4 linked regions of the Styela clava genome follow. The protein of the gene in region 2 interacts with the protein of the main gene of each other region in a pairwise test. Links are inferred from orthologs where the notes say so. Each region holds a gene or a part of one and is shown on either strand. Other genes may lie near its edges. The genes, in order: DNA repair protein RAD51 homolog A, DNA repair and recombination protein RAD54-like, 26S proteasome non-ATPase regulatory subunit 7-like and elongation factor 2-like.

Region 1 (7,467 bases), on a different chromosome or scaffold from region 2:
CATGTCCAAAAATTAAAAAACTTCAACAAAAATATTCTTTTACATGTTGAGAGGGGAGCGATATTTTGGATAAACAATTGGATCTTTATTCAGCAAGGGTATACGGATTGTTAAACTAGGTGAATATGACAAAAGCAGACTTCAGAAAAAGCTGAGAAAAACTTGTGATGGGTATAAGTATAACAACATTCTGCATTTTTCGCTATCATTTTTAAAATTAGAATACACTAACTTATTCTATAATAATTTTTGTTACATGGAAATAGGTAACTTTTATTTGTTACGGTTAGGGCTGTCCAAGCGAACCAAATATTCGAAATAGAATCGAATCGCAAATTATTCGAATCGTTTTTCGGCTAATTTTCGAATCGCTAAAATTAGGTACCGGTACATAAAGCGGAAACCACCTTTACGGGATGTTTTTCATCGGGCAAGCGGCGGCGATCCGAGCTCAGACCACTCTCGCTCCCGGCTTGCTTAATTGGTTTCCCGATATTTTTCTCGCCTTCATTTTGTGATAAACATGTCATTACTAATGCCCGCCCGGTGGCACGTGATTAGCCATTTCATGCGTGGTCATCATAACAAGGTATAGTCGATCGTGACGTTTTTGAGAGAGAACAAGGAGAAAAAGGAGACAATTTAGAAAACGATAGTTCTATAAATAGAATCGATTTGAAGCTGTTGAGTTAGTTATCATAGGAACATGGTACAGGCAACTCAAAGCTGAAACAGGTGTTTTGGGATCCTTATGATGGCAATACCTTATTTAAATGGAATTTGTAATTTCTCATGATGGCATTACTGTATTATCCATCTATATACCAAGACAAATAATTGCACTCTTGCATTTTGATGGCTGTTGTACACTAACAATATTATAGTCCTCAAATAATATTGTCATCAAACTAGCTTGGAATTTTTAAATGCAATTTTGAACTTGAGCAACAGTTTTATCTATATTGATGGTTGTTATTATTTTGCTGAAATTTACACAAAAAAACATAAAGACTAGTGAATAGGATTAAAATAGCATCTACAAGCTTTATATGTCCTACTAAAACTGAATCCATCAAAATTGAGATTGCAATTTTTGAATAGTGCAATTTTTACTCTTAACACTCAACAGTTTTCGAGACCCAAATTTTGGAGTTCTCCAATTTTTTTGACCAGTTCATACAAGCGTGTGATCTCCTTTGATGTAACTGCACATACGTTACCACAACATCGAAGGGCAGGCGTTTATTGTATAATAGAGACAGATTTACTATTGGGCAATAATATTCGATTATTCGGTTCGATTCGGCGAAAATATTCGATTCGAATCAAAAAATTATTCGATTTTGGACAGCCCTAGTTACGGTAGATAAAAGTGCGACTAAAATGAGAAAAATGGAATAAAACTGTACTAAAAACTCACGCTAGTTGAATTGTGTATTACTATTAAATAAAATACAACTTATTATAGTTCAAAGAAGACATTAAAAAAAAAAAGTTTCCGCAATATAGATTCAGACCTGGCATGTAACAGCAATTGTGTGACAAATTTGTGATTTTCCTGTTCTGAATTCTCCGAAGAGTTCTGTTATCGATCCAGTCTCAATTCCACCTAAAAATAAGAAACACTTTTTAGACGAGACTCACGACTTCGTGTCGAACAAATCTCTGTACAAAAGTTTTTTTGATATACCTTGTAATAACTTATCTAATTCTTTTGATCCTGTAGTAACTTGGATTATTTCCGATCTCCTTTGATGAAATTCTGTCGCAGTTGTAAAACCCATCGGCACTAATTTCGCTGCTTCAAGCTAAAAAAATATATAAAGATTTCATGATCAGGGTCAAAGAAGATCTTGTAATGTTTCATGTAGAATACAGTAGGGCACAATTCGCTGATTGGTTAACAATTGGTTAATCTGAAATAAGGGTGTCTTGATCGACGACAGATGTGCCAGAATTCGCCATGCTTGTTTCAATAATAATTTAAATCAATGTCACATGATCAAAATTGTGTTTTTTTTAGATATAGATTGAAGATTGTGCTTCCTTCTGGTTTATTGCACAATACCGGTTTGCCAATTTGTGCCAGTATGGAGGCCCAGACTGTCTCATGAAAGAGGGGTTTGCATTCACTCTTATATTTAATGTCTTTCAATGTGGGAGCTATTCTTGAAATCAGAGAACTGTGCCGTAATGTTATATGATAGACTTATTGATAAAAATAAACAAATAAAATCGTTGTCATATTATTTAATTTTCACTTTTTCAACGTCAGAGTGATTTCCACATAAATATTTGACACATAATAGAATTTCAATGTCCTTTAATAAATTTTACCGTTAATTTCTCAGCTTTTGCTTCACTTATTCCTTTTACTCCAACAAGTTCCTTCTTCGTAGCATAAGCAAGTGCTTCCACAGAATGGTATCCATTTTCTGAAAGTTTCCTTATATCACTTGCACTTATTCCACATTGCTAAAAGAGATAGATTTTGCATAATGTGGTATGCGGTTGTGTAATCTCAATTTATGATAGGCCTATTTTAATTTTATAAAGTACCTTTACCGGTATCCAGATAATGCAGTATTGATAAAATCATAATTTAAGAATTGATTTTAAAAAACGATTTTCTCCGACATTTCTGATATAGAATAGTTGAAAAGTCAAAAGCCATTAATTTTCTTGTTAAATTTGCTATTTAACCTATTTCTGTTTTTTTTCTCTCGAATTCAGGGCTTGCCAGTATTTGCGAATAGAACAATATGAAAATTTCTTGATTTACGGTAATTAACTCAACTTACCTCTAATTTTGCGATGGGAAGTGGGCCCATAACCTCCTCTTCTTCGGCATCTTCCTGTTGTTCGTGTACTTGCATTGCCATATTTACTGAAATAAAGGTTTGCGAACGACGCCTGCGATATCTCAGAATACAGAAATACTAAAATAAGACGAGACGATTTACCAAAACAAATCTCGCGCTTTAGATCCACTGAACCATAACAATTATTTTGACCAAACTTTTCGTAAACTTAAGAAAAAACAACGTTTAAATATAACTTGTACAGTCCTTTAGTTTGATTTAACATAGACAGACCAAATAGTCACACAAAAAAACGGTGTTCATATGTGTAAGTTTTTTTTTACAATTGTGAGATATTTCGAGTATTGTAAAAGTAATGTAGCAAACGCCGTAGGGAAGTACTTTTCTTTTATATAAAATATTTATAAAACATTATAATAATGAACAACATAACATATTTATCATTTTTTTTATTGGCGGTTTTCAACAAAACGTCTTTTTTTACGTAATTCATAATAAATTTTCCCCGAGGATGCCAGTATCAAGAACTATGACGTACAGTTTCGATATTTATTATTTCGTGCCAGACCGTCTCGTTGTTCAGACGAGTTTCGACGCCGGAAGTTTACGTGTCCAGTTGTATTTCGCGAGATTTTTATATTGTACCAGCGTTCAGACAGCTATAACAATGTATTTTTCTTCGCAGAACAGCATGTAGTTGATAATAAAAACATATATAAACATAGCTAATTGTTACAAATTTAGGAGCACGGAATATCTTTCGTTTTATATTACTGTAGCCTATCACTTCTTCACTCGTCATGTTCGAAATGTATTTTGCCGTTGGAGTTCTTCTTGCCTCGTGTTGTACAAATGTAATTTTTCTTGAACACCTGATAAAGTGAGTGTATAACTTTTTTGGCTAGAGTTATTGAATTTTGATATTGTGTACCGGTATGCAGGTATGGCAGTATGGTGAATTTTATGCTTGGATGAATCTGTATTTATGATTGTAGTATTCTGTTTGTACTTACTGTTTGAAGTTTTATAGTTTGGTCTAATCTTTCTTTTCTGTAACATTGCCTATGGCATACTTTTATATATATCACATCTTTCTGTGCTAAAGCAGCCAGAGCTTTGATTTCCCTTTGTGTTATCTGGCTAAGTTACACAGCTTTTAACTCAAACTTTGTATTTTATTTAAATAAGAATTCACTGAAATTTAACTTTCATTTTTCAGAGCTTCACCTGATAGTGGAAATATCCTGCTTTTTCTTCAATTTTCCTTTATTGCTATAGAAGGTTTTATTGCTAATCGGAAGTTCGGATGGGAAACTAGACATGTTCCTTTAAAGTATGTGGCTTTTTTGCTTTTCTTATTGTGCAAAGTAAAGAAAGACAGAATCAAATAGGCCTATCGATAAAAAAAAAAAGTTATAGCTAAACTCTACTTTGTCGTCATGATTTTACTTATATGGTGTATATTCTCAAAACAAGAAAAAAGTCTCAAGTAATTGCCTCCTATATAAAATGTAATTTTACAAGCATTTTTTTAAACTTTAATGGCTTCATACTACTTGATCACAGTCTTATCCAGAGACATATATCTGTATATAGAAGCACCCCAAAAAAACAAATTTTAATTGTAACAGAAAATAATTCAATTTGTCTTATATTTAGAAACTATGTTGTCATGGTTCTACTGTTCTTCACAGCCAGTGCTACTAATAATATGGCATTAGGTTTCAATATACCAATGCCTCTTCATATGATTTTTAAATCTGTAAGTATAACAAATATGATAATTATTATTCTTTCTATTGTTATCAAGCGAGTAGTGTGCATCATATTTACATTACCGCCCATAAAGTTTCTAAGTTGCTAAAAGATAAGTTTCTAATTCTTAGGCACGAACATATACATACATAGATTTATGAAGTTCCTTCCATTAAAAAGCGATTATTGAAACGTCTGGTCAGTTATGGCTCCATCCACTATATGGACAGTCTATACAATTTTTTATATTTTTTTTCTCTCAGGGTTCTCTTGTAGCGAACATGTTTCTTGGTGCTTTCTTATTGAAGAGGTCGTACTCATCTCAAAAATACCTTTCAGTTGCATTTGTGTCACTGGGTATATTGATTTGCACTTATGTTACAGTAAGTTATGTTTATGAAGATTGAATGCTTGAATAATATTGCTCGACTATAATTAGCATTGACCAACTGCAGCTCTTTTTTGGATTATTGGACTTGGACATGTACGAGGCCCGGCCTATAAATTGTTTTACTCAATGTAGTTGTTTGTCTCTGATTCTAGCAGACCAATCGATATTTTAAATTTTCAACACTTTAAGATGGCTATCACCATACTTTTTTTGACATTTTCATGAATCCTACACAGACCTCAATACTGTCCCAAATATTGAGTATTTCTCTCTTTTTTTGCTACGAATATAGCCTACCTAGTTGTATGTAGCGTGTATCATTTTTGTAATTACGTTATCTGTACGCTATGATTTTATTTTGTTATTTTGATTTCTTCATTACCATAATTTGAGATACGTATTGGCTATTTTCAAGTTTAATGGAAATTCAAATTTTAAAATAAAGTTTTCTATAACTGAATGAAGTGTGTAGCCGACAAAATGATTGACAATCATTGGATTTCCGGTACATCAATTTGAAATATGATTTTTTATATACTAAACATAAATTTCATATCTTTATAAGTATTGCTAATGTTGACATTATATCTAAGAGTGTTTCAAAGGCCACCACAATGTCTAGTCATTCAACTGATGCTTCTACATTAATTGGAGTCATATTTTTGACAATTTCACTCATTGTATCTGCTGGAATGGGAATTTATCAAGAAAGTATCGCAATCAAATATGGGAAACATCCAAGAGAAACTTTGTTTTACAATGTAAGTGATACGATTACTGAGTTATTGATTAATAGTTGTTGGACATAATCTTAATTAATAATGAGGTCGGTCAAATAATGAACGTAGGTGCCAATATCTGATGGATATTTTTTTATCATAATTCCTAAGAAACAAACATGCCTAGTTTGAGTTCACCAACTTATTTGACCTTTGACAATATATGGAACACCACTGTTCGTTATTCTCAGAAGTCTACATATGGATTGTTTGCTAAATTATTGTTGTTGCTGGGGACAAAAATGCCTTTACCACATTTTCTATATTTAATAATAATGAAAGAAATTGCTTGAAGGCTTTTACTTTTTTTTTGCTGTTTCACTCTGCTTTGTTTGACTTCCTCCATAAGTTTGACCGCGGATCTTTTCAGCAAACTCTGTGATCTCAAGCCCTAAAGTACCGGTACTGATGTGCAACAATGTGTATTTATTTGAGTATTGATCTCTTGCACATTTTGAAATGAGACTCGTATTTTTCCATGATAAATACTAAAATAAAAGAGAGATCATGTATATATATTGTATTACTGCTATCTTCATTATGTTTTATTAACAGAAAATAAATTATTTTCACAGCATGCTCTACCGTTACCATTCTTCCTGCTACTCGTACCAAGCATTGCGCGGAATTTAGAAATATTCAATCAATCACCTCTTGAGCCGGTGCCATTTTTTACAAACTTTCTGAACACTGTTTCAGAGTCAGTTTTATCTTTTCAAATGAATTTAGAAATTCCAATTTTGTGGCAATACGTCATCATCAATGTTGTGACGCAATACTTTTGCATTCGTTCCGTATTTTATCTCGTTACTGAATGCACTTCGCTAACGGTTACGCTGCTGATAACCCTACGTAAGTTCATATCGTTGCTGTTTTCAGTGCTGTATTTTCAGAATGATTTTACTTTTTATCATTGGATAGGGACATCATTCGTTTTCGCTGGCAGTTTAATGTATTCGGATATTTTTAGAATAAAATCTTCTACTGTAACCACGTTTAATAACAGCAAAACATCGAAAAATGGTATTAGTAATGGGTATCACAAAAACGGTCATACAAAGGTGGATTGAATCTTGTATTAAACCAATGCCAATGATGCCTTATCTGTTCATTATGCTTATCAACACAGTTATATTTGTGTTAGAAAATTTCTACTTATGTGATTACCTAGAAATTATTATTATTTTTACTTTCTGCTCTTAACTATAATACGAAGATACCCTAATGTGGAAATAATTCTAACGAAGCAAAGCTGAAGCCATTTTATTATTTGTACATATTTTTGTTTTTAATATTATTATCATGTCATAAAGCACTGTGCTTATGCTAGTCTGCCAATGTAATTGTCTCTTTGAATTAAAAGGATTGTATATACAGTCAATTGAATTAATCAATGTATTATATGGTATATTTTATGTGATATATTTATTGTATCATGCCTGGTTTGATAATGGCTTCCCACTAGGATGAGAAATTCATTATTATTAGCCTATGTATTCACATGGAGATAATTTAATATGTATAGTTTTCAATCTACATTTTATTAACTTCTTTTGTTAGTCAGTAACGTTCTTTAAAATAATATTGCACAAGAGATGTTCACTATATAACAGGAATATCTTATCAAGGTCGGCCCTCTAGGCAAATTTAACTGACCCGCCTTGGTGGAATGTTTTATACCAGGGTATGCAACAGGTGGCCCATTTAGCCAAGCCATTTA
Region 2 (7,749 bases):
ATGAATAACAATTATAGCTCATGCGGGTCTCAGAATACAGTTTTGGTTGCATTAGAAAAAGTTTTCTTGTTTTAAGCCGTTTAAATACCTTACCTTAACTATTCCTTATTAATTACATTTATACTATATATCAATCTTCCTTGTCGTGCTATGAAAATTGTGAAATTCCATAATTTTCCGCTTATGCTAATTCTGACGGAATAAGGTATTTTCAGCGATGGACTATACAGAAATGCAATTTCTTTTTCTTTCAAATAAACCTTGTCCCTCTTGAAACGTCAGCAAGACTTGAATTTTGATTTTACCCATTTTCGTTGCATATGGGGAGTCAGTCCCCTTGTATCAAATTCTCGAGTCGTATCTTGGTGGAATTAAGATTAAATTTTATTTTACATTTTTCTCTTCCTAATTTCTAATTGAACATATTATTTGTGCTTGTTGTAATCGTGTTAAATTCTTGCAAGAAATCAATACATTTCCCTTTATGTGCTGTTGTTTTCTTATGCAAAAAGTGTTATTTAGAAATAAGCTTCATTTGAAATCGGTGATCCATCCTCATGTCTTGCAGACTAGCGTAGATCGAACGGTGTATGTGCATGATGAAGTTTATTCTCAATATGATAATCTAGTATGAAAAGTTAATCAAAATTCATAAAATTTGATATATTTACTATTGAAGTTTGAAGTGGAACAGAACCTTTCACAACTCATTCAGTAAAGACAAGAAACGGCGCGTAAGGAAGCCAACTTGAATAATCTTTGACATTTGGTCACCGGGTGCGGGCGTATTTTTAGTCGGCTATGGATCTGTGTTAACCATTTAGAAAAATAAGCACGTGTTCTAGGCACCAGGTGGAAGGGGGCACCACAGAAATTAGTACTCATGTAGTATGTGAACCAAGATGGCTGACATCGGAACGTAGTATGTGTACACGTACGTAGTATGTGTTTCCATAGTCGAACTTTTAATGGCCCCTCAGTGTTTTATGAAATGATTCGAGTTGATCTGACGACCTAATATTGGCCAGCTTAAAATAAATTTCTGCTTATTTCTTATTTACAAGTATCATCTTATGATGACGTTGACGCTTTTCAAAAGTATTGAAACTACGGACAAATGCTATTCAAATATTACTGTGTCCATTACTGTTAAAAAGCGTCAGTCGTTATACGTTTAAATAGTATTTCGCACTAACTTCTCTTCTTTTCTTTTTCATTCGTATTTCGTGTAAAACTGACTTTTTATCTGGTTGGGAAAAATGATCTTTACTTGATGGCATTATATGGACACATAAATTATACTTAACATCAATTGATGGAAAATCAACTGTGAATCTGTAAACTAATTTTGATGTGTGCTTGAAAATGGCGTAGCGTGTGTGCACTATTTTGAGATATTTTGTTTAGATCAGTGGTTCTCAACCTTTTTCAGTTCGTGGACCGGTAAAATTTCAAAATAAATTTTGCGGACCGGCGGACCAAAAATTGTCATGAACACAAAACATAATCAAAAAAATGCAATTACGACATAAATAGTAGGTACAAAAGAAGACAATTCAATTTAACGAGAAATTTGCTGCTGTCTCTTTGATATTATACGTGTTAAACGCGGTTCTAATGAGGTTTCTACATTGCGAAGTAGAGCGTTGACTTCCACACGATTTTTTTTTTAATTTTATTTGTGTGTATTATTTATGGGAAATTGAAATAAACTTACTTACCTACAATTCGATTTGTTGCGACTCCAAACACGTGATTAATCTGAATTAATGCATTAGTTACTAAATGAAGCTAGACTGAAGTCAGTGGTGATCAACGACTAACATACCAGTGGTGATAGCATATAATTCTCACTGGGACGAGCGAAAAGGTCAGTAAATAGGGTCAACGGCGGTCAGTGAGTGTGTCACTTCGGTTAGCGACTCCGGTTTTGTATTGCACAACGCTCAGCGCGAAACATGAATATGTTCGAATTATTTGGGTTTCTGGGATAGTTGGAAGCGGTAGACTCAGAGAGTATGTTAAGTCTCTTTGGTGTGTGTCCAACGACTGAACGAGGCGCATGTCCTGATTATTCGATAATATAATACCGATAATTTTTTTTTTTTAACAATCATTTTATTGTTATGCTGATTATGGAGTCGAAATAAACTTATAACTTACTTATAATATCTAATTTGTGTTTTTTCAGTATCAGAAAAAATAACGTCAGCGTATTCAGACTTAATACTGTAATATGACTGTATGATGTGTGGCAAGTACCGTTATTTTTATTTTTTCTAATATTATTATTTTTGTTATCTATACAATTTATGGAATTGCTGTACGTTTTAAGGCTGATCTAAAGTTCTGTTTGCTCTCCTGATTTGTATGTATGCTTATTTGCCTAAAAAATTTAACCATAGCCTATCTGCATACCGTAACTTACTGCAGTACTGACCCAAACATAATGATATTCGGGTCTCGTGTAGTTTCGTACCTAACGTAGACTACTTCTAGTAGGCGTAGCATAACAATTTTTTGACATGCCAATCCTAACCCTCACCTGACTACGCCATCCAAAAATTACGTGACTACGACGTCACAATCACATCATAGAGCTTGCCAAATACTCCTACGATCGCCCGAAATGGCATCGGCGCCGACGATATAGAACTGACTATATAGCGACGAGAAAACGTGAGAAATGGCTGCTCAATTTCGGGTTCTCGTCTGCGCGTCTTGGATGACAGTTCGCATAGTTCAGTAGTTAGATGGGCTCTATTACGTCACTGTGATGTCGTAGTGACGTAACTTTTGGATGGTGTGGTCAGGTGGGGGTTAGGATTGACACATGAAAAAATTGTTATGCTACGCCTCCTAGAAGTACGTTAGGTACGAAACTACATGAGACCCTCGTATTCCAGTACTCAGTTTTTATTTAACTTGTTTTATCAATCATTTTATTGGCGCATGTTCATTTGCATATGTTATTCCTAACCCCCACCCAGTCTGGATTTCATGGCCTTTTTGAACGAGAAATCGGGCGTGCAATCAGAAATTCCCGCGTGCAAATAAGAATTCCTGGCGTGCAATTATAGCTCACGACGTGCAAAACAACTGCACTCGCGTGCAACTGACTTTGACATCGTCATCAGATACCTCTCAATACATCCGCGTAAAATTACCGGTATCGGATAAAAAACACGTTGAATCAGAGAAAAAATGGACGTTTGACCTTTGACCCCAAACATTATTTCTACAGTTTGTCGCTAATTTTGAGAGTGTTTGTGCGACTTTGGATACCGGTACTGTTCAGTACATCCGCGTAAAATTATTGGATAAAAAATACGTTGAACAAGAGCAAAATGGACATACTTTGTCATTAATTTTGGTAGTGTTTTTACGTAGAATTAATGGATAAAAAATACATCAAATTAGAGCAAAATGGACGTTTGACCTTTGACCCCAAACATTATTTTCATACTTTGTCACTAATTTTGGGAGTGTTTGAGCAACTTTAGATACCGGTACTGTTCAGTACATTCGTGTAAAATTATTGTATGAAAAATACGCTGAATCAGAGCCGTACTTGGCCATTGGTGCGGAGGCGATCTTTTCGTCCATAACTATTCTCACGGGATTCCTATTTCCTATCATTCAACACGATATGGACCTTTCCCCGAGCATCGACTTCCTTGTTTACTTCGTGACATTGGCCAATCAGCAAGATGCAAAAAAGGACGTAACAATGAGAGGAATTTTTCGCGGGTCAAAGGTTGGGGAAAGGTCCATGGTCTTTTTGCTTCGCAATATTTCGATCAGACCAAATCTTGCAAGCTGGTATTTGTCGACAATTGTGGAGGTATAATATTTTGGCATCTTTATATTACTGGATTATTGATTTTAAAACCATTTAAACTGATTTACATTGGTGAGCAATTGCAAATTTTCGGCGTGCAAAATTGATTTCGCTCGCGTGCATTTTTGCGGAGCGCTAGCGCCCTCGGGCGTGCACCTGCCATGGAATCCAGTCTGGACCCCCACCAGACTACCTCATCCAAAAATTATGTCACTACAACATTACAATCACGCCATAGACAGATAGCCTAGAGCTTGCCAAAGAATAGCTACGATGGCATGAAATGGCATTTCCGCCCACGAAACTAACCGGCTTAACTCAGAGATCTTTCACACATCGGGATCGTTACGACGAGAGAGCGAGAGAAATAGCTTGCTTGATTTTGGGTGATCGTCTGCACGTTTTAGATGACAAGCCGTATAATTTTATGGACCTTGTTTCGTCACTGTGACGTTGTAGTGACGTAATATTTTGATGACGTGGTTCTGTAGTCAGGTGGGGGTTAGAAATGACATATGCCAAAATGGTCAACATACAGGGTAGGATATCTACCCAAACTTACCGGAACGAACCTGTAGATATCTTCTAAAAGTCATTTATTATACCTCCAGGCCATTTTCCAGTTAAAACAGCAAACTTGTGGCAATAATATGTTTTTTCGATTACCGAAATCGACCCTAAATAACTGAAACGGAGCAGAATTTCCGCGTATACCTACCATCGCGACAAATGTCTGAATGCCGGTTTTCAAAACCAGCCATACTGGATATCATTTTGTCACGATTCAAATCAAATTGTCTTGTCATCTCTCTGCGGTCATTTTTTATCCTTCAGGTTTTTAATCATTTTTCAGACATGATCAATACTGCAATATCAGTTTTATGCGAGTTCTGGAGATTTTTTTTTCTTTTTTACAACATAGGTCTAAGTGTATAAATCTAGTTAAAAGAATGAGACGGAGTTTTGCACCAAGTCGATTAGTAAAGCAAGAAGTTGAATATTCAGATGAAAATAATAAGTCAACATTGACTAAACGGAAAAGTGAAAATGTACCAAACCAACAACCTTGTTTTAAATGTACACGAAGCCCAATGGCATCTTCAACACTTAAACTATATCGATCGCCTTTTCGTGACCCTTTAGGAACCTTGTCAGTTAATTCGAATTGCAATGATGTCAGCACGTTTCCAGATGCAAATTCACATGAATCTTTTATCAGAGGAATTCTTTCTAAACCCTTCAAAATTCCGATACCCAACTACAAAGGACCAACATTGGGAGGTAAACTTGGACTAAAAAGGCAGTTGCTTCGAAAACCATTACATGACCCATTCGATGAGAACGCTTTAGTATTATTCGAACCACCTGAACTTTCGCCACACGAAGCCTTGAAAGCTGACAAGACCAAGCTTAAAGTGCATGTGGTTGTTGATCCTGTACTTTCAAAAGTAAGTATAGAAAAATATTGTATTTGTGTGGCACACATCTTAGATGTACAAAATGACATTGGATAGGATCTCTTTGATTGTAAATTAAAGTTGACAAGATCCCTCAATCATAATGTTAATCACTCGCAGGCCTATGACAGTTTGGAGTCAAACTTTGACTTGCTTTTATTGATATTGGTGCCAGGGTCCTATCTCCAATATTCCTTTTTCTCATGTCTCTAATTGGTGTCATTATTCTTGCATCAGGCTAAAATTTGGAGAGGGAGTGGTCACTTTTTTGTGGCTTTGGGGCCAGGCCACTGAAATGGGGCCAGGCCACGGAGAAATTGGGGCCAGGCCACGGAGAAATTGGGGCCGGGCCACGGAGAAATCGGGGCCAGGCCAGGCCAGGCCATGGTGCTATGCAGTAATACGGAGCCACACTCAAATTCTGGTATGAAAAGGTGATTAGTCCTATTTTTTGTTTGTTTAACAGGTTAATGATGATCTTGAAGGTACAGGCAAACCTAATTAGTGAAAAGAATACGCTTGAATCACATTTAACCGAGAATTTATTGCCTGGAAATACAGGATAGAAAATGGAGCCACAGACTAGAGCAGTTCAGTAATATGGAGCCACACTCAAATTCGTTTTGAGAAGTGGATTAGTCTTATTTTTTGTGTGTTTAACAGGTTAGTGATGATCTTGAAGGTCCAGGCAAACCTAATTAGTGAAAAGAATACGCTTGAATCACCTTTAACCGAGAATTTATTGCCTGGAAATACAGGATAGAAAATGGAGCCACAGACTAGAGCAGTTCAGTAATATGGAGCCACACTCAAATTCGTTTTGAGAAGTGGATTAGTCTTATTTTTTGTGTGTTTAACAGGTTAGTAATGATCTTGAAGGTACAGGCAAACCTTATTAGTGAAAAGAATACGCTTGAATCACATTTAACCGAGAATTTATTGCCTGGAAATACAGGATAGAAAATGGAGCCACAGACTAGAGCAGTTCAGTAATATGGAGCCACACTCAAATTCGTTTTGAGAAGTGGATTAGTCTTATTTTTTGTGTGTTTAACAGGTTAGTGATGATCTTGAAGGTCCAGGCAAACCTAATTAGTGAAAAGAATACGCTTGAATCACCTTTAACCGAGAATTTATTGCCTGGAAATACAGGATAGAAAATGGAGCCACAGACTAGAGCAGTTCAGTAATATGGAGCCACACTCAAATTCGTTTTGAGAAGTGGATTAGTCTTATTTTTTGTGTGTTTAACAGGTTAGTAATGATCTTGAAGGTACAGGCAAACCTTATTAGTGAAAAGAATGCGCTTGAATCACATTTAACCGAGAATTTATTGCCTGGAAATACAGGATAGAAAATGGAGCCACAGACTTGAGCAGTTCAGTAATATGGAGCCACACTCAAATTCTGTTATGAGGTGTGGATTAGTCTTATTTTTTGTGTGTTTAACAGGTTAGTAATGATCTTGAAGGTACAGGCAAACCTTATTAGTGAAAAGAATGCGCTTGAATCACATTTAACCGAGAATTTATTGCCTGGAAATACAGGATAGAAAATGGAGCCACAGACTTGAGCAGTTCAGTAATATGGAGCCACACTCAAATTCTGTTATGAGGTGTGGATTAGTCTTATTTTTTGTGTGTTTAACAGGTTAGTGATGATCTTGAAGGTACAGGCAAACCTTATTAGTGAAAAGAATTCGCTTGAATCACATTTAACCGAGGTTCATATATAGGTTATAATATATATATATAGGTTCATAGTTTGTATATTTGAAAATCTCGTAATTCTCTACTTTTTAAGTTTGTTTTTAATAAATAAAAATATAAGATATCCCCCGAAAATAAGCCCTAGTGTTATTTTTCGGAAGAAAATTGAAATGAGACCCAGTCTTATTTTTGGGGAAATATGGTATATCTGTATATGGAGCCATACTTGATTTCTGTTATGGAGATGATTTTGTATTTTTTTTTTCATGGTTTTCAACAGGTTAGTAAAGATCTTCAAGTTACAGGTAACCATAATAGTATGAAATCATGTTTGACTGTCTGAAAAGTAAATACTTTGAAATTTGTTGCCGGGAAGTGCAGTTTAAAAAGTGGATTCATACAGCGAGGTGATTCGGGGACGCAATGTCTGAATGTTGTCGGAAGTGGAATAGTCATAGTTTTTATTTCATATAACAGGTTTGTAATGATGGTTAAGTTACTTTACAACAATAGTACCATAAGATTTGTTTCACTTTTTGGGGAATTATTGTTTTTTGTTCAGTATATATGCTGATATGAGTAATGATCGCAGTGAAACAGATACTATACGATAACTGAGGAATGTATACAAGAATTAGGCTGTAAGAAGCTGGTATCATATCAATTTGATCATAGATTATGAATATGAAAGCTAATTTGTAGTTTACATTTACCAGGTTGGGAAAAATATTTCAAGCTTATC
Region 3 (7,759 bases), on a different chromosome or scaffold from region 2:
GTTTCGTCTGACGTCCTTAGACAAGCAGTTTACAAGAATGAGTTCAACAATTGGTCGTTGTTGTAAACTGTTTGTCTGAAGAAGTCTGATTTTGGTCAGACGAAAGATTACAGGAATACATATTTGTTAGTGTGCAGCAGGACTCTTGGATTGCATAGTATGGTATTTTTATCTCCGCTACAGCATCCTTGCATTATATGCATGGGGATCCACTAGCGCGAAGGCATTGAGGAAGAATTGGGAGTTAGTCTCGCGTAAACTCTATGAATGATGATTGTATATAACAAGTATGAAAATAAAACTTTTGGTTTAATATCAGGGAAAACAAAGCTCCCACCTCAAGACACATTTCAATAACTAACGAGTGTACGAAATAATAAAAAAGCAATAAGCATTCTTATTGGCGTTATGCTTGTACTGAAGATATAGTAAAAATGTTTATGCACAACCTTCTATGTTGACATCAAATGTTAGAAATATCAGTTCAATACTGGCTTTTTGTGTAGATCAGGGGCCTATTATACCTGAGCTTGTGCGAAGCGAACAACACATTTGATAACATCAACAAGTTAACCGATTTTTTGTACGTGCAACTACTAGAAAGCCTATGTTGAATAAAAGCGTGGCCTGCAGTTTCACCCAGTCATTTTTATCTGGCCCTTCTGCATTAAAGGTTGCATACCCCTGGTGCAGACCATCAGTGTCACTAAAAACCGCCCAGAACCGGCACATACCTGAGTAAATGTTCAACTCCTACTTCTTCAGCTTCTTCAGCTCCGATCTCACTTGGGACATGCTCAAATGTACGTGAAGTGGGGGTGCCATCCTGTGGATAAATGAAAGTTAAATATGATTAAAGTATAGATTAATTTGAGGGTCATTGAAAGATTTGATTTTGACATTGTGCATTTATGATTCCAGGACCAAGGTATTACCTAGTGTGAAACAAATTATACAATATCAAATCAGAAAGATTCTGCACCTTCTGGAAATAGTAGCTCCATCTTGCATATTAGTGATCGCTTGTCTGGAGCTTTGTGCGGAATGAAAGTGAGGAAATTGGAAGTAACAATATGGGTACTCCCGTAGTGTGTGTACCAGGTTAAGTTGGGCCATAATTTTATTCTGATTTTGCTTATTTTGGTTCTATTACAAGTTCGGGGACCACCTGTGTTTGCCAAATGAATATTACCCCTGTCCATAGGTTTCAGTCCCTTTATACAACTTGATGTAAAATAGGCGAACAAAATGAGTTACCTCCATATTGGTACACACACTTCTAAAGCGCCACAATATGTATGACAATATATAGCAGTCTGTTACATGTAAAAGACCGTTGCTGATAGAGTCGCCAAGAAAAAACTACCAGAAAGGCAGAGAATGTGAAAGAAACCAAGGCAGCGAGGAAGGCCAAAGATAAAAACAAAAATAGTGACTGGAAGCGTCTAGCGCTCATCAACAATCCAAACCTGAAAATATATTTATAGTTACTTTTATACATACATCATGAATCTCTTCAACAGAGATGTAAGCTTCAGTTGGAAGTCCAAGTTCTTTAGGTTTTGCGTCAATAACCACGAGTACTGCGTTAGAATTGTATCGTTTTATCAATTCATTAATTGCAATATCGTTAGGACATAGCTTTGGTCCTGTATGATACCATCCTATGATTCTTTCGCGAGCTGAAAAGGAAGATTCAAAAGTATTCAATATATAATTTAATATATAATAATAATGTATAGTATGAGTTGTATACAGAGATAGCCAAGACCGGATAACTTACTATTCGGAATGTATATGCAACACATACATCAATGTATATACACCGCATATCTGATTACCCTGCGTAGGTTCACAAATTCGATCCCAAATATTTGCAGCCCCTTAAACACCTCAACTCGTCTAGCGTTAATCAGAAAGTTAGGTCAGGCAAAGACGAGCTCATTGGCTCTGTATAATGGCTGTCAAAATTGTTTTTCAGGGCACAAAGAATCACGCCAATAAAGTGTTGCATAAGATGTTGTATTAATATTGCATTTACCATTAACTTTCTTGAACATGCTGTACATTTGTTCCAAATAATCGTGATCGAGAAACCAAACTTCTCTGTCTCTGACATCTTCATCAAATGGAACTAAAAATCAAAATAATGTTTCAAATGACATAAGTATAAATACAGGGGTTCTAAACCTTCTTTTTCTGGTTTAACCCATGTACAATTTTAAAACTAAAATTTTTAAAAAGGGCTAGCTCTCTCCACAGCAAGAGCATAATACACATCAATTACGCAAGAGAATACTTTGTTTTCTTCTATGTAATCAACAGCCACATTTGGCCACGTATTTTCAAACTTGCAATTATTTTCCGACATGCAGATCAAATCAACCAGAAAGGGTAAATCTATTCCCTGCTGAGATACCCATAGAGTTATTTTTTCAATGCATTCAAATATACCCTATATTCAAAAATGGGTGCTCCCGAAGTATGCGAACCAAGATGGCGGACATCGGAACGTAACATGGGTAACAGGTTAGGGTTGCACGATAATTTTTTTCCAATTTTCCTTATTCTAGTCCTCTTATCAGTTCGAAGACTAGCCAAGAGCCTCCCGCAGTATTTATACCTAAAATTATGGCCTAACCCTAACCTAGTACACATATTACATTCCGATATCCGCCATCTTGGTTCGCATACTTCGGGAGCCCCCAAAAATGAGTATAGCAATAGCTATAGCAGTCTTGGTTGTTGATTTACCTGCTTGACTACTGCCTCATTAAAAGAGAACACATTACAAAATAGGAATAGACTTACCTGCAAAACTATTAGAAACATCTAAAATTTTCTTTCCATCGATTGTTTTCCATTGACCAAGTAAAACCCCAACAACTCTGCTTTGACTTCCTACCTTTCCCATTCTATTGAAATGATCAACAACACTCAGAAGTACGAGTGGATGAACCACAACATGATCCATTGGAATCGCAGACATTTTGTTAAAATATTATGTCTAAGTAATTTTAAAAGCTGTAATTCAAAAATAATTTCATATTTGCAATAAATATATTCGTATTTACTGATGCGTAAAGTACCACCATAATTCTAGTTTCACTTTTAATAGCTCTTGAAATTTCAGTGCCTGCCTGTAACTTCTTTCAAGAATTCGTCTCCTTACAACAAAATGAGTATGACTCTGCTTTGAGAAAATACCCGAAAAAAAAAGTTAACCCATTTGGGAGAAAAGTAAGATAGATGGAACAATTTTATTTTACTTATTTCAAGTTGACAGTCAACTTTTGCTACTATTCTAATGAACAATATATACCAAAATAATAAATAAATATTCTAAATAAATGCGATACATAATAATGAACTGAGCATTAGAAATAATTCTTTATATGACAATCCATTGAAAGGAACATATCTTAAATTATAGTTTAGTCCAGGGGTGCACAACATGAAGCACGCGTGCCAAATATGGCACGGCATACCCTTGAACATAGAAAACGAACGATTTTGTAAAAACAAAAAAATATTCATGATATACATAAAAAAAATCATGTTTATATCGAAAGACACTGGAATGGTCATGTTTATCTACAAATTGCAAGGTAGTAGCTGAAAATAAATAGTTAGGCAAGCCTACAGTAGCGAGCAGTTAAGTACCAATAGGTGAAACGTGATTTTCCGCATATCGATGATGGTAATAAGGTGTGTTTATGTCGTAAAAATCTAAATCGGCATATTCATTCACACCAAAGAGACTACTGTATGACTCGAATATATTATATTCACTTGCACTTCGAAACAAGAACGTCTTCAAATGAGCAGTCATTCAGAATTATGTATTATGATTCAAATTTGTTTTATGTGTGTTTTACATGAGTTTGATTACAATACCAACGATTGTGCCTGGCACACGACAAGATTATTTTGAAAAATATGGCACATATCCTCATTTGGGTTGTGCATCTCTGGTTTGTTTAGTCTATTATAGTTTCATTCGGTTTCCCCCTGTATTGAAAATCAATGAAAACTGATCAGCTAGAATTATTTCATTCTTTAGTATTTCTCTTATCGTGATGAAGAGCAATTGATTAATATAAAACAGATTGGCCTTCAGATAAACATGAAAGAGTAAGGTGAATCACAATAAATGAAGTTTTATCTTCATTAAAAGCATAAACCATTATTTAACTGCACAAAAAATTCAAATTCATTGATTTTTGAATAAAGAGCAAAAATACTTTTGGTGAACTTGATTACGAAGTTCAGCTTGGAAAATTCTACTCAACATTCCTTTTAAAACATCAACAAAATCCCAAAAATGTTTTTATATTATCTAGAAATCCCAATCACACCCATACATTCATCTTATTATTTATTCCAACTCTGCCTGCTCACTACCTGGAAAACAAGGAACAATCTATTTCCGATGATCAAGTCAGTGGAACAAGATGCTATGATAAATTAGTACCACTTTGACACCTCTTCACACTTTGGTAGTCGCTTCGAGATCAATTTCCATTATTTTCGGGTAAGTTCACTGTTTCAGAGTACTTCATTCAAAAGAAAAATTTGACTAATCAATAGATTCCTCCGTCCTTATCATCTAATGTATCTTCTTCCTCATCAAGATAAGATTCTCCATTATCAAAGTACGAAGTTAAATAATCATTTCCTTCATCTTCATCAACCTCGTCAATTTCAAGTTCGACTTCTGACTCAGTATCGTTTGCGTCTCCTGCCTTTTGCGCTTCTGGATTTTGATCTTTCTTCTCAAGCTCATCGAGCTTTTTCTTGACCTCCTCTTCGTTAACAGACTCCGCTTTTTTCTTCTCGACTAATTTTGGTGCAATTTTTTTGCTTGCTTTACGTTTTCTTTTCATTTCAATTTTTAATTCTGCCGGGAATCGACTCCAATCTGGTTCCCAACCTAGTTCGTTATCTGAATGATTGCTAATTCGATATTTATCTGAATATCTGTCTAGAAAGTTTTTTTCTTCTTGTTTTTTAATATAATATGGTGAATCCCGCATTGTCTTTTCAAAGTTTTTTTGCAAGGCAAGTAAATAGTCTTGATCTTCCCCTGTCAAAAGCGGTACAGGTCGCTTTTTCAATGGGGGATAATCAGGAGGTGGTTGAAGCAAAGACGTCGGCAACGCATCGCCTCTACCAAATCCTATGGCTTCAATATTAAAAGAAAGACCCGATCCTCGCCCTCTTCCTCTACCTTTCGACATATTTGAATGAAAATGTCAAATAAACAATGAAAATTGACGAAAAACTATCTCGATAAAGTAAGAGCTAGATTCCAAATCAGCTCTTATTCATGAATCAGCATTTTATTTATTTGCCTGTTCACGATTTTCACGCATGACTGGGATCGCCAAATTATTTTTTGGGATAAAGCGAAAAAGGAGAAATAAAAGCAAATCAATAAATTAAGAAATTTTAATTTTTCAAGAAAAACAAAACAAACATGCCGATGTAAAAATTTTAATCCCGCGCATCAAATTTGCGGTATGTAGATTTGAATGCATATTCAGAGATCGTGGAAAATGCTTTAACTAGAATTTTTTTCTCTGTACAATCATAGAGAGAGGAATCCGATTAGACGATCAGATCATATGAAGAACCAACCACGACCTCTATTCCGGATCTGTTCAGGCACTGGACAAGCTAGTCACTTAATCGTCACAGATGCATATGCGTGTTATCGTAGGTTCGTAGTTGTACATTAACTTGTGACAAACATGCATTACTGCAATACGGTATTTGTCACAAGACTTTATATTTGTATGCGGACCGGACAAAGCAGTATGGCATCACACTGAGGTATATGGAATGGAGGCTATATATGAAGATATAGATATATCGGAGGACGTCGACGAAGTGGCGATTACAGGAAATAGGTTATGTTATAGCGGAAATGATTGTGAGAATTTTCCACAACATTTATTGAGGTATACCCGCCTAGCTGTGTGCATCGACCTGAGCCATAATAAGCTCAAAAATATCAATGATTTATCGAAGTTCGTCCATCTGCAAGAGTTGAATTTAGATAACAATGAAATCGACGACGAAACCGAGTTTCCGGAAATGAACACTTTACAGACACTTTCGTTAAATAAAAACCAACTAACTAATCTCGAAAAATTGGTGGCACAACTTAAACAAAAATGCAAGAACTTAACATACTTGAGTTTACTCGGAAACGCTGCCTGCAGACATCCATTACTAGGATATACTGATGAAGATTATGCGGAAGTGCGACGTTATATCGCAACATATTTACCGAAACTAGAAATCATAGACTGGCAAGCGGTAGCAGAGGAGGAAAGGGGAGATCATCCTTCTGCTTTAGAAGCAACTACCTTCGAAGAATTTGATGTTAAATTCACAACTGAAAACGAACAGCTTTCCCCACCAACACCTAGAGCAGCCGCAGGAAAAGTGCGTTATACTTATATCGGGAAGCAATCCGAGGGCAACAGGTTTATCAGAAACAACAACCTTTGACAGATAAAAACGTCTCATAGGCTAAGAGTTCGAATAAAAAGGCGTTGAACCTTATATTTCATCAACATCAAATACTTTTTCGCGTGTCACCCTGATCAAATGCTCAATTTCAAGATGCTCAAATGCTATTTGAGCGCCCTGCAAATTTCCCTATATTTATTTCTGAAAGAATTTGATATCCAATGATTTCTGATAGCAGTGATTTTTTTTTCCAACTACGACAGCAAGAATTTAGCAAAACGATTTAACATTGTGTCTCTGATCTACTCAACATTGTGTAATGGATAAAGCGCAAATGTCCTATCAGAGGCAGACAACATGTTTCTCATTTAAAGCGTGTTCCTATGTGTTATAATATTACAAATATTTTTTATGAAATTCATTTTATTTTAACAAGCAATACATTGTAATTTACAAAAATGTTTGGTAACAATCAAGGCAGGGCTGAAAGCATTTACAGTATATCAGGGCAGAGAAAGGGGTTATTTTCATGAGTTTACTTCGAACAAGACTATGCAAAAGAAGCTACCGATTATGATACAAGGGAGCTATATTTAAATAAGGACTGGGATCTTGCTATTCTGGCAAGGCCTTATTACAACCTCAGTGTACGGTAGGTAGGAATGGGGTTTCAACTTGACCATCACACCCATTCAAAGGTATTGGAAAACGACAGAGTTATCCACTTCCTCTACCATATGCATAGAACAGCATAAAGCATTATTTCATTGAGGGCGCTCAAGGAGTGTGTGCACCAATATGGAGGTAACTAATTTTGTTAGCCTACTTTCATCAAGTTGAGTAAAGGGACTGATTACTATGGGCAGGGGGTATATTCACGTGGCTAACAGACAGCCCGGAATAAAACTAAAACAAGAAAAATCGAAGTAACATTATGGCCTAACCCTAACCTGGTACACACACTACGGGAGTATTCATTTAGGACTACTACAAGATTTTTGTTGTGTGCAAGGCCCCAGCACATGAGCCACTCAAGAGTACAATATTGGGCCCAAGTTTACATCTTCCTGAGAACAAGGTGGTGTCTTAAAAAAGGCTGGGCGTAAGTTCGAATATGATCACTTAATTAATATCTTCTTGGTAGTAAACAGGGATGTCAGTTAAATAAATTTCAAATAAATAATGGAATTATTGTTTTCTCAAGTTATTTTCCATAGTGACAAATCAAATTTATATCAAATTCTATTCAGTTCACGCCATTACTGTTGCAGAATTTCAG
Region 4 (7,785 bases), on a different chromosome or scaffold from region 2:
CAGCTGCCTCACCGAAAAAAAGTTAGGCGTTTTATCTCGCAAATTCTCCTTGTCTGACGATTATAAGCTTTTATGATTCATAATAAATGTTTTATTATGACTCACAAAAGCTTTCAACGCGATAAAGCACAATCAAACAACCGATCGATCTATCAAGCTTAGCCTGGCCTGATTCGATGTGGTGACTTCTCAAACGGAAAATTTCCAAAACGATTGAACGACGCGCGCTATGGAAAAGCGTTTAGTATCATATGAAAGAGAAAACCAATGTGCAGTCAACTGTATAGTCACATTTCAGCTTTACAATAGCTATAGACGTCCAACAGCTGATAGAATGAGAGAGTGTAAATATTTTTGTTATTTTTTGACGTTACGAGAGACCTCTTGAAAGAGGTGTTTTAGTTTACGGTCCTCCAGTGACATCTAGCGTATAGTACTCTAAAATACCTTTCCAATGGTATATAATTATTGTATATTGGGTGAATTTTGGGGGTCGTATCACGTATGACATTAATAAAAATGGGTATTCAAAATTGGGCTCGATTGGGCGTCTAAAACAGGTTAAAAGACATCAATTATAATAATGAATGCAAACCGAGATGATGTGGAGTCTTTATAACACCAAACCGGTACTGCCTAATAAACTATTACAGTACAGCACACTATCCAAATTTTAAGAATTTCCCTCCATTAGGCTCAATAAAACAAACACTCTATGTGTCTCACAAACGCGGGGCGTCTGGGACCTCGGCAGATGCTTCATATCGCGCCATGCTTGTCTCAATAATAATATAAATTGATCGCAGCAGTCACATGACCAAAATTGCTGTTTTTTGCTAAAAACTTCCGAAAGCTACGGTAAAAATTTTTTCCTTCGGTAAATCTGATTATTTTTTCCCAAGGAATTCAATGACGACGTTACTAGATTGCGCTTTTTTGTAGTATATTGCGCAACTTCATTATACTGTATTATTACTGATATTGAGGGACAACAATTCCAGACGTCTCCCAAAGGAGGGGTGTCTGATCATCTGTAAAATGGTTTCTCTGAAACGGGAAAATGTCACCCGATTTGTATAGTGTGCCGTACTGTAATAAGGACACACAATCTAAGTCTCCATAACACCAAACCGGTACTGCCTAATAAACTATTAAGGACGCACAATCTAGAAACATTCCCATGGATTCCCCCCAAAAAAATAATCTGAATTTACGCAAGGCAAAAAAAATTTACAGTATTTGAATTTTTTTAGCAAAAATCAGTCTGGAGGAATGGAAATTTTGGTCATGTGACAGCCAACATATGTCATGATTGACTTATCATCCAGTCATTTGCAGGACTAATTTTTTTCATGGATCTTGGAATTGTGCCCTACTGTATATTGAGAAATGTATTTGTTTTAAAGCTCACTTACGTTGACTTGATTGTAATGCATCTCTCCTGCTCATCCTTTCTCGTATCTGTAAAACGAGTTTCTCCAGCTTTCGCACCAGCAATGATACCAGCTTTGCTAACAAGGGAGTCTGTTAATGTAGATTTACCATGATCTACATGAGCAATAACAGACATGTTCCGAATATTGGCTTTTTTGTCCATGATCTCACGGATCTGATCGACTGTGAAGTTCACCTAAAAATAAAAATTATGTTTAACATCAGTCTACAGCAAAAGCGTGCAACAGGCCACCAAGCTATTTAGTGAGCCCTTTTGAACAACCTGATTTTTCCAAATCAAGTATATAATCCTAATCCGACAGTTTATATTAAAAAAGACACTCACAAAGGTAAAAATACACATACATATACTACCCTAAGACGGCGAGGCGTCCAGCAATCCTCTTGCACATTTTATCCTCCCAGGATTTAAACCGCCAAACCCACAAAGGGTATCAGAGGGGTGGTCTGGTGGTGATGACTGGGTGAGTGTATTCCCAACGCTTAGCACAGTAGCACGATGCGCCGGGTCTTACTACTTACTGAATAGAACACGAAACAGCGCAGAATGGATAGAAACATTTTACTTTCATTATTTATTAGCATCCGTGAAATTTTAAACAATTTGATGGGAAACGGTATACAGTGGTAGGGAATGATCACGAGTTTATGTCAGTAATCTTCAACATCTTTAAATAACCAAACATGATGCACCCTAACCTGGTACACATACTGTGTTCAGGTTGTGCGCCATCTTGGTGCACATACTTCATGACGCACCCTAACCTGGTACACATACTGTGTAAACTTGTGATCATTCCCTACTACTGTATGTTGCCTCCCATCAAATTGTTTAAAATTTCATAGACGCTAATAAATAATGAAAGAAAAAAGTTTCCATCTCTTCTGCGCTGTTTTGCGCTCTTTCCCTCTCTTCTGCGCTGTTTCGCTCTCTATTCAGTAAGTAGTAAGACCGCGATGCGCCACACTGCTGAGCCCAAATTACTAATACTATTATATTGAAGTATGACATTTCAGTGTCAATATCGGAGAGTCAACCTCCAACCTCAAATGGTGTTGAATCATATAAAACAATCTTTATTATTTTGTTACCAGTCACCATTGCCACTGACTGATTGAAGATTTAGATATCTACCCTGTTTTTACATAATATAGCAAAGGACTGGCATTTACAAAATAAATAAAAAATACGTAGATCGCTACATAGACTGGATGTCAGATTTTTCTGTCTAAATTGAAAAGTGGGTTCTTCCCGTTCAGGTTATAGGCTACCTTCGCAAGAGTTATATCCACTTAAATCACGCTCAACAAGCCATATTATTCGTTCATATTGCGCGAAATATATCGACAGACACATGATAGCTCAAAATTACATAAAAAAGGGAAGATAAACTCACCATTTTGGATGTTTTGACTTCGTTTCTTCACTCCGCGTAAAAAAATCAACCCTCGAACTGAAGGGCTTGGGAAAGGAACGTTATGAAATGACAAAGCTGTAACGCCAACCTATTACGTCATAGCACCACGAAACAATATTGCGAAATCCAACAGTAATTATTGCGTCCCTACACGGATGAAATAAGAGAGGAAGAGATATTATTTGTCGATCAGATCAAACAGTCATGATATAATAAGTAAAATGATAATAATAATAATGAAGCAAAAAAAATTCTCATTCTGGAATATCCCCATATATGAGTATAAGTTTATTTTGACTTCATAAATCAGCATAAAGGCGATGAAATAATTGATAAAAACAAAATAAATAAACTGATTACAGAATCGGAAAAACGAACAAACCCTTGAGCATGGTTTAAATAAAACGTACATATTTCAGATTAAAAGGTGATGCCAAAATAAGTGGTACGTGTTCGCTCACCCAAAAGTATCAGGTTATTAGACCTTATTAATTCGAAAACCATCCAACGCGCGAAAAACGAAAGTGGCATGAACAAAAAACGAACCAAAAACGATTTTAACATTAGCTCTCATGGGGAATGTGATCACCAGAGCAAAAATTTGCATTTTTTGTAATTTTCTAGTTATCTTTCATTGTAGACGTATGCAGTTTTGGGGATAGAATATATTTTATATACTTTTTGATATTTTTATCATGATAGACACAGTCAAGATTTTTGATAATCGTTCATTGAAATTTTCATGGTCGTGGTGTTTCTGCTGGCATCTTTCTCACCATACCATGCCATTCTGCCAACGCGTTGTGGTCTGTGAAATATGCGCTCCAACTGCTCGTGTTTCTTATTATTATAGGATAACAGAATACCGGGACCACAACATACCGTGTTTGGCGCTAAAGAAAGACCTATTTTAGTTAGTAAAGTTTAGCCGGAATGGCAGTCTGTTCACGTATTAAATCAAGTAGACAAAAAAAAACTAGGAAAAAGAGTAAAAAAAATATATTACTTGGTAAAAAAGAATATATTTATACAAATAAAATAAATTTCGCCCAACCATATTGATAGATTTGTATGAATTTTGAAATTGGATACCGAATTGGTTAACAGGAATGAAATGTATAAAACAATGTTCCTAAAACGATATCGCCAAGTTGATTATAGTTGGAGTCTCCTAACGCCAAATTCCCGAAAGGAATTGCCAAGTTGGATGCATGAAAAGGTGGACTAGACTCTAGACTAGATCACTTCATTCACCATAGCTAGAATATAGCCAGATTAGATTCTAGATTAAATTAAATACTACTAATCACCAAAAGTAATTATAATAGGGTGGTTCACGTAACCACTGGTCGATTACGGCATCCTCTTTTATCAAGTCCATGCTTCCGAAAACGAATAACTAACTAATCCCATACTCGACATGGAATGGTAACCGGACGAGAGGCCATGATTCGCCATATCGGCTTTCTTCTCACACGGGATAAATGTGTAAATTCTATCCAAATTTGGTCTGACCTGGACACGCCACTGCGCGTCGCTGAATCAAACGCTTTGATTGTACAACGCAATTAGGTATTGACTCGAGAATCTGCACACACTTTTCCCAAACAGACAAAGATGTCAAAGTTGAGTGTTAAACCTGCGTTTTTTATTCGTTTCCATTGGCTATGATATTGAATCAATTTTCAAATGAGCATAAAGCGCACCAATCTCTTGTATTTTCAACAACTTTTTAGTGGGAAGTCTTGTAAAATTCGAAACATCAGAGACTGAATGGGGAGGGAAGAACTATGCTGACGTCAACAAATTATACCCGCGGACAACAGATTAGATACTATTCCGTCAACATTTTCTTTACACTTAGAGCTTTAGTCCCACTAATCTTGCGCTTACATTTTTTATAATGCAGATTTATTTGCACAAAAGAATGTAACAATATTAAAACTAAACCATGCTTGGATCCGTCAATATTATCTTAGACATTGGGAACTGATATGCTCGCCCATGGTTCATCAAAGGGTACTTCCGAAGTATAAGAACCAAGATGGCGGACACCGGGACGTAGTATGTGTACCAGATTAGGGTTAGGTAGGTCATAATTTCATTCCAATTTTAGTTCTATCACGAGTTTGGGGACTAGCCAAGTGACTCCCGTAGTATTTGTACCTGAAATTATGACCTAACCCTAACCTGGTACACATACTGCGAGTACCATATTATGCAATATGTAGTATTGTTGTAGATAGCTTATTGCGTTGAAAACACATTAAATAAATAATTAAATAGCCTAATTTGTTACAATTACCGTAATAAAAATATGATTGCGGAAGATTCATGTGTACATGAGATGTGTCGCGGACCATAACGTCCGCGTTTATATTGTGTATATATATATTTCATGTTGTATTGACCCTTATTCAATGCTGTTTTGTCGGATCTGGACTCCGACTAATCACTACACGTGAGAGGAAAACTATGTCATTCGCTCTCTTTTCTCCGTTCTTCGGGCTGGAGGTCGGTCGTGTTTTTAGTTCTTTAGTGATGTAATCAGTTTATATGTTTCAAGTTTGATATTCTGAAGTTGCCGTACAATAAACAACCAATCCGGAACCCTTGAGTCTTTGATTCATCTACAACCACGGTAGCAACATCTTCGTCCGTGACAGATGCAAGCATGCAAGAGACCTGTATTCTCGCTAATACATATGAAAAAAAGAAAACTATGCTCAAATAAAGAGATGATGGTTGCGCATCGATACTGGTACCGCAAAGGCTGAAAACATCGAGTTTGCTGAAAAGATGTTGGCGAACAAGTTCACGCGATCGAGCATGTCAGAATAGTTGGGGCCAAAATTAGGGTGAAATAATCAGTTCCAGTCAACGACTAACATACCGTCCCAGTATAGCAGGGGGCGGCAAATTATGTCCCGCGGGCCAGATCCAGCGTGGAGTAAAATAATCCGGCCAGCGATGCTTCACTGAATTATAGTAACAAAACGGCTATTTTGACGATTATATTTTTTATAATATCATATTCTTCATATTCGATGCAAGTGCAAAGGGTGAATGAAACTTTCTGAATCTAACTTTCTAACTATCCAAATTTGACAAAAGTCCACATCGATGTTTAGAAGTACATATGCGTGCAAAAAATTATTTTCGAAAATGAACATTACAAAGAACAAGCTGAGAACTCGGATTAATGATTCCCATTCAGAAATTGTTTTAATCCTGGCTTCATCCAGTGTGCCGCCAGAAAAAAAGAGTGATATTAAATGTCATTTGTAAATTTTTTTCTTCAAGTAAGAGGACTAAGTCAGCCATCCGTTCTTGTTAACTTTCGAAAAATTATGCGGCCCGCCAAGACTTGCAACCCTTAATTTTGGCACGCGAGCGACAAAAGGTTGCCGACTCCTGAACCAGCAACTTCTTTCTTTTTACAAAGTTCTGAAGATTTGAAATTGATTAGCCAACTAGTTGCAAAAAAAAGTTAATATTTCGAACAACCACAGTCACCCCGACAACATCAAGATTTGAGCAAAACAATATCAGACTTTGCCTTCAGTATTAACTTGAGGGAATAACACGCAGGAGACACCAGTTACAAACTATTAACATAGAATTGAATCGTTAGCCAAGCCTTTTATGTGAGGGAAATTAACCATGGGTTACCAGCTATATAATAATTAAATGAGCCGTTTAACAAGGAAGATGAGTACTTCGAATCAAAACTGATCGTTGTTCAGAACAAGCGAGCTATGCTCAAATATATGAACACGTTTACCATCCCAAGAAAAGCACCAACATTCAAAGACTTCAGGTATAACAGTGACTGCAAGCCACGCTTTTACGAGACAGTTACGAGTTAGTTCAGTATCACCGCGCTGTGTTACGGTACCGGAACTGCTCTATCTTTAAAAGTTCCTGTCTTGTGACAGCGTGAATTGAAATTGCAAGCTGGTCCGAGACTGTAGTAACACCAACGATACGAGTCACTACTGTTATATAACACCAAGTACGGCACTATTCGCCATTCACCTTTCCTCAAATATTAGCAAAGCAATGATTTCGTTACGAACCACCGACGTTCGATGGTACGTGATCAAAAGAACATGAAGAGGAGTGCCAGCATATGCGTCCGCAGAACGTTCGGTGACTTCATAGCAAACAAAAACAAATCTCACAGAGCTAACAGAAATATTTAGAATAAATAAAAGTAATAGCCTTCTGAAGAAAAATTTCATCTTTAACCACTAAAAATTTCAAAACAATTGGTTCAGTAATCAAAGAGAAAAGCGACTTTTTAGGTTTTCCACTAGGTGTCCAAAAAGTGTCAGAGAACAACAACATAATATTGAAACGATCGTTATGTCCACTAACGTGTCCAAAAAGATTTTATAAATGTGTGATTATGTCTTGAATACTCTTAATTCAATCAAATGGTACAGGTTAGCTCTTTAGTGAAGAGGATAAAAACCCGCAGCAAGACTAATATGCAGTATGACACGGCAATATTGCTAATATAAAAATGCACGGGGCAAGTTATAAATAGCATACCGAATCGAAAACAAGAAAGAACCTTTTTCAGATTTAGCATATTTTTGAACGTGGAAGTACCTAAAAATTTTCATGAACAAATTCCAATTTGGAAAAAAAATTAGAATAAAATCGAGATACTGATAAGATCAAGAGTTATATAAATATAACCTGAACTAGTCAATAAATTAGAATTCAACAGAAGCAAATTCATTTGGTTATTTAAAAGAGATCTATGATAATGAGACAAGATTGGATCACGGTGAGTATGGCGTAGGTCAATTTTTTCGTTGTTGAAATATTAATGTGATTCAGGCTAACAAAGAAAGAAATGGAAATCATACAACTTAATAGAATTTAAAAATTAACCATAAAA

Evidence for each region.
Region 1: the proteins of DNA repair and recombination protein RAD54-like (region 2) and DNA repair protein RAD51 homolog A interact in a two-hybrid assay, tested with the Caenorhabditis elegans proteins (3 studies listed by BioGRID). The link is inferred for Styela clava from reciprocal best matches to the Caenorhabditis elegans genes rad-54.L and rad-51.
Region 3: the proteins of DNA repair and recombination protein RAD54-like (region 2) and 26S proteasome non-ATPase regulatory subunit 7-like interact in a two-hybrid assay, tested with the Caenorhabditis elegans proteins (2 studies listed by BioGRID). The link is inferred for Styela clava from reciprocal best matches to the Caenorhabditis elegans genes rad-54.L and rpn-8.
Region 4: the proteins of DNA repair and recombination protein RAD54-like (region 2) and elongation factor 2-like interact in a two-hybrid assay, tested with the Caenorhabditis elegans proteins (2 studies listed by BioGRID). The link is inferred for Styela clava from reciprocal best matches to the Caenorhabditis elegans genes rad-54.L and eef-2.

Annotation. Positions count from the first base shown.
Region 1 is NC_135264.1:10,477,999-10,485,465, forward strand, and holds the start of DNA repair protein RAD51 homolog A, read right to left. Parts: upstream 3,007-7,467; 5' UTR 2,883-3,006; coding exon 2,802-2,882; intron 2,476-2,801; coding exon 2,338-2,475; intron 1,809-2,337; coding exon 1,691-1,808; intron 1,610-1,690; coding exon 1,518-1,609; intron 1-1,517. Other genes in the region: nucleotide sugar transporter SLC35B4-like, read left to right, coding at 3,623-3,702, 4,042-4,155, 4,482-4,584, 4,841-4,960, 5,562-5,729, 6,323-6,817.
Region 2 is NC_135251.1:11,749,027-11,756,775, forward strand, and holds the start of DNA repair and recombination protein RAD54-like, read left to right. Parts: upstream 1-4,735; 5' UTR 4,736-4,791; coding exon 4,792-5,289; intron 5,290-6,925; exon of another isoform or gene 6,926-7,484; intron 7,485-7,749.
Region 3 is NC_135263.1:4,084,210-4,091,968, reverse strand, and holds the start of 26S proteasome non-ATPase regulatory subunit 7-like, read right to left. Parts: upstream 3,022-7,759; 5' UTR 2,990-3,021; coding exon 2,812-2,989; intron 2,135-2,811; coding exon 2,042-2,134; intron 1,683-2,041; coding exon 1,504-1,682; intron 827-1,503; coding exon 735-826; intron 1-734. Other genes in the region: DNA-directed RNA polymerase III subunit RPC7-like, read right to left, coding at 4,584-5,240; leucine-rich melanocyte differentiation-associated protein-like, read left to right, coding at 5,845-6,519.
Region 4 is NC_135257.1:16,652,949-16,660,733, forward strand, and holds the start of elongation factor 2-like, read right to left. Parts: upstream 3,005-7,785; 5' UTR 2,856-3,004; coding exon 2,853-2,855; intron 1,631-2,852; coding exon 1,416-1,630; intron 1-1,415. UniProt on the Caenorhabditis elegans protein: Catalyzes the GTP-dependent ribosomal translocation step during translation elongation.